Oryza sativa Japonica Group: one gene and its partner. The protein of the gene in region 1 binds, or shares a complex with, the protein of each later gene. Links are inferred from orthologs where the notes say so. Each region holds a gene or a part of one and is shown in the gene's direction. Other genes may lie near its edges.

What was found. The genes of interacting proteins can lie anywhere in the genome.
Region 2: the proteins of monothiol glutaredoxin-S7, chloroplastic (region 1) and protein BOLA2 are in contact, whole or in part, in an NMR structure (PDB 2MMA), measured with the Arabidopsis thaliana proteins. The link is inferred for Oryza sativa Japonica Group from reciprocal best matches to the Arabidopsis thaliana genes CXIP1 and AT5G09830. Residues at the interface, in NP_191050.1 of Arabidopsis thaliana: Lys130, Ser133, Asn134, Trp135, Pro136, Thr137, Glu146, Phe147, Phe148, Asp152, Ile153, Glu156, Ala157, Thr160, Glu162, Glu165, Glu166; in NP_568217.1 of Arabidopsis thaliana: Arg46, Leu47, Leu48, Arg50, His51, Arg52, Asn55, Met62, Ile65, His66, Ala67, Leu68, Ser69, Ile70, Lys71, Gln74, Gln78.

What each region holds. Positions count from the first base shown.
Region 1 is NC_089037.1:36,807,822-36,811,792, forward strand, and holds monothiol glutaredoxin-S7, chloroplastic, read left to right. Parts: upstream 1-1,201; 5' UTR 1,202-1,276; coding exon 1,277-1,727; intron 1,728-2,997; coding exon 2,998-3,053; 3' UTR 3,054-3,409; downstream 3,410-3,971. Other genes in the region: elongation factor Tu, mitochondrial, read right to left, coding at 210-284, 386-478, 572-647, 773-963. UniProt on the Arabidopsis thaliana protein: May only reduce GSH-thiol disulfides, but not protein disulfides. Probably involved in the regulation of the redox state of the BOLA proteins. May act as Fe-S cluster donors to Fe-S cluster-requiring proteins.
Region 2 is NC_089035.1:38,153,146-38,155,727, reverse strand, and holds protein BOLA2, read left to right. Parts: upstream 1-1,283; 5' UTR 1,284-1,362; coding exon 1,363-1,425; intron 1,426-1,521; coding exon 1,522-1,544; intron 1,545-1,676; coding exon 1,677-1,875; 3' UTR 1,876-2,080; downstream 2,081-2,582. Other genes in the region: sm-like protein LSM3A, read left to right, coding at 303-383. UniProt on the Arabidopsis thaliana protein: May act either alone or in interaction with glutaredoxin as a redox-regulated transcriptional regulator, or as a factor regulating Fe-S cluster biogenesis. The GRXS17-BOLA2 heterodimer binds a labile, oxygen sensitive iron-sulfur cluster.

The sequences.
Region 1 (3,971 bases):
CAGTTCCGGGACAGTAACTCAGTAAGCCTGAGTATCAGAAGAGCCTACTGGATTTAATAATTAATATTGACAGCGCATACTACAAATGTGCTCAGCAATTTCATAATATCCAATGAATTAGTATTACATAATATCCATGGTTATTGTTCGTGAAGATTGTCAATATATAATCTTGATAACTTCCACTTTAGTAAAATAGAACTACTTACCTTGACATAATCAGCATGCCCTGGGCAGTCCACATGAGCATAATGCCTTTTAGCAGTCTCGTACTCCACATGAGCCTACACAACCACAACCACATAACTCAGACTTGATCTACACATGATGACATACAAGGACACCATCTGGTCCAAATGAAGAAAAAACTAGTGCTAAGGCTCACCGTTGCAATGGTGATTCCTCTTGCTTTCTCCTCCGGGGCCTTGTCGATCTCGTCAAAAGCAACAGCTTTAGCCTTCCCTGCCTCAGCTAACACCTGCAAAGAGCATAAAAAAGGCATTTCACGCGTTGAAATTGTTTGGACTCCAAAGAAAACAACTGAACTTGCACTATATGTGACAAATCAGACCTTGGTAATCGCAGCAGTGAGTGTGGTTTTGCCATGATCGACGTGCCCAATGGTGCCAACATTCACATGAGGCTTCCTGAGACAGATTCATACAACAAATTCAAAACACAAGTCACACACGGATCGATCGCTAGATGCTAACCACAGGAAGAGAGAAAACCAGGCGCGGAGAGCAACGGATCTGATCCAAGAAGGACTCACGTGCGGGTGAAGGTGGCCATGGACCTCGCCCACAGGGTTCCAGCCAGAGGCGGTGGCTGCTGGGGCGCCGCCGCCGCAGCCGCCGACGCATCCGGTAGCGCCGTGGGGCCCGAGATCACGGCGGCGCGGAGGGTGGGGTAGGAGAGGATGCGGCGGGCGCCATGGCTCCGGAGCACTGCGGCTGCGGCCATCGCGTTCGCGTTCGCGGCGGCGGCGGCGGCGGCGCTAGGTGAGAGGAGGAGAGAGACGGGTTTAGGGCTTTAGGAGTCGAATGGGGAGGAGAGGCGGCCACCTCGTAGCTGTAACTTGTAACCAACCCGTGGAGGCGCAAATGGGCCGTACGGCCCACTAGGGCCCATAGGCCCACTAGGGCCCATAGGCCCACTCCCAGTTTCTCCTCTGCCACAAGAAAGAAACACTGCGGAAATTACAGGTTTGCCCTCGTATCACCACAGCCACCAACTCTCCCTCTCCCTCGCCGCCGGCGCGCGAGCTTCACCAGCCATGGCCGCCACCGCCGCCGCCTCCGTAGCCGCGATTTCGCCTCTCCCCGGGGCATCCCTCCCGCGCCCCGTCTCCGCGAGGGTTCCTCTTCTCCCTAGGGCTTCCCCTCCCACATGGCGCCTCAGCGTCGGCTCGGCGCGCGCGCGGTCGACGCGGTGCCTTGCGGCGGCGGGGGGTGGCGGGCTGGCGCCGGAGATGAGGGCGACGCTGGACAAGGTGGTGGGGTCGCACAAGGTGGTGCTGTTCATGAAGGGGACCAAGGACTTCCCGCAGTGCGGATTCTCCCACACGGTGGTGCAGATACTCCGGTCGCTGGACGTGCCCTTCGAGACGCTCGACGTGCTCGCCAACGAGGCGCTCCGCCAGGGGCTCAAGGAGTACTCCAGCTGGCCCACCTTCCCGCAGCTCTACATCGACGGCGAGTTCTTCGGAGGATGCGACATCACCGTTGGTACGCACCCCGCCTCCCCGATTTGACCTGACATCACGCAAGCTCACTGTTAAGGAATTGAATCTTTTTAAGCAGCATTGATTTGTTATGAGAAGTTTGACATGCCAATTCACCTCTTCGATCCAACACATTGTGATTATCCCACTACGATTAGTCTAATGCTGAAGACATGCTGCGGCCCGCTTATCGTGTCTAGTCCATTAGAATCCTGTTAGAAACTTTTCAAGGGGACCAGACGTCCCTGTTGTTTACTGTGGTTCTGAATTTTGATGATTCCCTATCCTCATAGGCATAGTTCAGAGTATATAAATTTGAGAGAATTTATCAGAGTATATAAATTTTGAGAGAGAATTTTCATGGCATGAGATACTCGCAGTATCTGAAGATCTGATCATCTGAACGCTGGTTTTGCGTTAAATCAAGATATGCTACTTGTACTGGCCATAAAAGAGCAGCTTGTGAACCCTGATTCATATATATAACCCGAGACGTGGCTTTCACCCCTCTCATCATTACCAGTTAATCATCACCAATAGTGATGTATCCTAAGTATCCATGCCTAGTGGCGAACCGAGAACAAAAATTAACAGGGTCCAACATACTAATTACCTAATTGTTAACTGATATATTGATCAGCATGATATAATTTAGTTTAAATTACCAGAAGCTGCATGTAGGAGCGCCACTGTCTGTGCCACCATTGGTTATAATCTGGTTTAGTGTTCTTCACTGAACAACTAGCTTGTATAGGTCTGCTCCATGCAGTTTTCTGAGTGTTGCCACCTATATACTCAAGAACCTACTATAATGTAAGAAATAACTGTTAAAAAATATGTATACATCTTGCCCAGTAGTAGAAATTAAGGGAGTATTCACTTTAATGCAATTTTCAACCTTACCAAATTTTGGCAGGATTTCTTGTATAGTTACCAAAATTTGGCAGCAAACTAAATGTAGCCACTTTTTTAGCAACTTTACCAAAATTTGGTAAGGTTGAAAATGGCATCAAAGTGAACAGGCCCTAAGGTGGATGGTGCACTTGGCGACCAGCTGACCAGTGAGAACACAAATCCATGATGTAGCAAATCATCACTTAAAATGTTCATCATGGTAGTATATTTAGATACTTGACTTGAGTAAACCCAAATGAATAATTGACACACAAGATGTGAGGATGATTAATGTGTGTGTTCCCTACTGAATGTTTGATATGATCAGTGTTTCAGCAATTCAGCTGGATTTAATGTTTGCACTGTTTTATATTTTGCAGATGCATACAAAAGTGGAGAGCTGCAGGAAACACTAGAGAAAGCAATGTTATCTTAGTATAAACGTCGAAACACACCATAGAGTACATATAAATGGTATATGGTCCTTTACGATGTACTCTTCAGCCATGACAAAGAACTGGTGATGCTAAGATTGTCAACAGTTCAATTCATCAAGCAGTGAGGTCCAACTCGAACGTGCAATTGTACTCATGACTAATAAATTTTAATATTGATGACAAATACTTCCTGTTGCAACACTCGGATGTCACAGCTCTAAATGTCTGGATCTCTAAATGTCTGGATGGTATTCTCTTATAGAGCTGAGGCGATGATCTTGTACCTAAAAAGATCCAAAACTTGGAGCGAAATCTTTTGCCCAAGTAGTCCAATCTATTTGTTTTTCATCGCTCTTAAATGTACTACTCCTTAACTGATACTCCCTCCAGTTTGATATTAAGTGACGTTTTGGACAGGATTGCATATACCAATGACTTATTAATTAGTCACCATATTCCCTTGTTATACCCTTATTAAATACTCTCGGATACACATCAAATCAGGAATAACTTCTCCTCACTTGGTTAAAGCCACCATCCCAAAGCATATGGTTCCGTGTTCGAGCGCTTGTAGCGCTCGTTTTCATCCGATTTTGCATGGTATTGTAGCCGTGCATGCAGGATTTTTTTTATGTCATTTTCGCTCGCGCGCGCGCTGAAGTTTTGTAAGCTGATTTTTTCGCTCGTTCGTGCTTGGTATAGAAAATTTTTTGGTGCATCTTGCAGCTGGTTTTGAGCGTTTTGGCGCCTGCTGCCTCTTGCGCATATTCTCTGTGAACAAGACCACAACGAGAGCATGGCCTCCTACGCGCGCATCGGATCTTGTCAAGACCATTCTCGTGGACTCGGCCGCAGTGAACGCACACTTGCGCGAGCTGCTCCACCTCCATGGCGTCGGCGCTGTTGTCCTCCTGCGC
Region 2 (2,582 bases), on another chromosome or scaffold:
AATATCAATGTGGATAATATGTTTGCTTTAACCCATGCACATGAGTTGTTTGGCTGCCACCTTGTGCGTGCCACTACACATCTATATTGTTGTGCACATTTTTTTCTCAAAGTACCTATGGTGCTTAGACTGCTGGGCATATAGTGCTTAACTGCTGGTTTAGTGTAACATAATTGCGGTTACATACTTTTTATTGGGAATAATCTGATGCTTTGGGACATATTTCTTACTGCTATATTCTGAAATTTCTGGTGAACATGTTGATGCTGTACTAACTATTGCTAAATCGTGTCTTTTTCCAGACCACAAAACGCACTATCCCCTTCCTTTTTGTTCGAGGTGATGGTGTCATTTTGGTTTCTCCACCCCTCCGAACGGCATGAAGTATGAAGGAAGCTCCTGCCGATTGTCAACCATGAGTAATGTGTATTTTTTAATCAATGGCATGTGTTATGTGCTGAAGTGCTACTATTTCTGATGGATTCTAGTTTTAGCATATGATACAATTGTGTAACAATTTCTGATCGAGGTGCTAGTTTCTACTGTCATGTTGAATCAACCTTTTGTTACCAGATTAATCAACTCAATCCCGAAGCACTAATATTTGTTGTGGTGATGTCTTGCGTAATTTTTGTAGATCCACATGCCAAGAACACCCTGTTCCAATCTCTATTAAAAAAGAGCCAGCAAGTTGTAACATTTTTACAGCGTATATGATTCACATCACAACACCCAGCCAAACAGGGAACGTATCACCGTCCCAAGACTTATCACAGCCAAACAGCCAAACAGCCACACGGCAGCGGTGTCTCCAGGGCTTGCAGAAAAGACACATTTTACATGATCATTTCATTAGCTACAAAAAGAGATCTATAAACTATTCACTGACCAGCAAAGTCAATCTTCATTCCAGCCATGCTTGAATTCGCCCCAAATCCTCACGCCCGGTCATGAAATTGTATCCATCTAAAGTTCTAAACAGCAAGCCAACAACACAAAAAGTACGACACAAAGTATTAGCCAAAAATATTCGAATTTCTTCGGGAAACATGAATGGATTTAACTAAATTTCACCACATAGAAAAGAATGAATTTAGCGAAAATTCACCACCATAGAAAAGAGAATGCCCGGGATCAAACCGAAGATTCGATTCCCAATCCAGCGGAGAGATTGGGAAGAACAAAAAACCTTTTCATGATTCCCAATCCACATCAAGTAGGAATATTTCTGGTAACTGAAAGAGGTCAAATAAAGGAGAGGGTGAAACGGCCGGCGCCATCCCAAGTCGTCTTCCTCCTTCGCTCAACCCGCAGAAGAACACAGATTCGAAGAGGCAGAGGCGGCGAAGAGACGCGCGAGCCATGGGCGTCACCAAGGAGGATGTCGAGGCCGCCATCACCTCCTCCCTCAGCCCTTCCAGCCTCGTGAGTCTCTCTTCCCTAAACCCTCGCCGCTTATCCATCATCCTTTTGCCGTTCTAAACCCTAACTGCCGCTTCTGCTTTGGTTCCACGGTTTCAGGTGGTGACGGATACTTCCGGCGGGTAATTCCTCACCCCCAAACTCCAATTGTTCTTCACCTTTGTATAGGAGTATTTAATTTGCTTGCTTCCATTGTTACGAACGAAAGAGAAGAGATCTTGTGTTTGGTGACTGGTTGATCGATTGGTGTGAAGGTGCGGCGCGAGCTACGAGATTGAGGTGGTGTCGGAGAAGTTCGAGGGGAAGCGGCTGCTGGAGCGGCACCGGATGGTGAACACCGCGCTGGCGCCGCACATGGCGGAGATCCACGCCGTCTCCATCAAGAAGGCGCTCACCCCTGCTCAGGCGCAGCCCCAGCCGGAGCCGGCCGCCGATAAGGCGCCCCAGGCTTAAGTAGTTCTTGAACTCACACCTCCAAACTGTTCGATCACATATGCACCACGAGTGAACCGATGCACTTGGTGTAGCGTTTGTCATGGGTGTTTGAGATGTGCGTCAGCTCTCTCTGCTTGAATAATGTGCATACAATGGCAGAATTGGAATGATACTATGCTTGACTGCTTAGAAATTTCAGTAACTTTGCGTGCTTCCCGCGTCATGTGCTTGGCAGTTGATCCTATTTCACAATTTTGCCAATAAATTGCCGTCTAGATAATGATCCTATTTCGCAACTTTGCCGATAAATTGTCATCTAGTTAATATTTAGTCCTAGGACTTGGATTGTTTTCCCCTCGAACTAGGTTGTTTGATTGTAGAGATAAAGTGCAGTTGCTTCATGATTGATCTAGTATTGTTTATTGCTGCTACTATAAGTTGACTGGCTCACAGCCTGACATAGTTGCTAGTATCTACTAGGGGTTCTATAATGCCACATTGTTTTACTTGAGCATTTAGTCTCTGTATTTTTGGTGAAGCCGACAAATATTAAGAATAAACTATTCTCACTGCTTGCTGGACCAATAAAACTGGATATGATCATACAATTGTGTTTGGTGCTAGGTGTATGATGGCTTTTAGTTTATGTGATAAGTAGTTCTCAGCTAGTTTGGGGACAATAAAGTGGTAACTAGTTTAAAATCATATCGTTGTGTTGTAAGTGC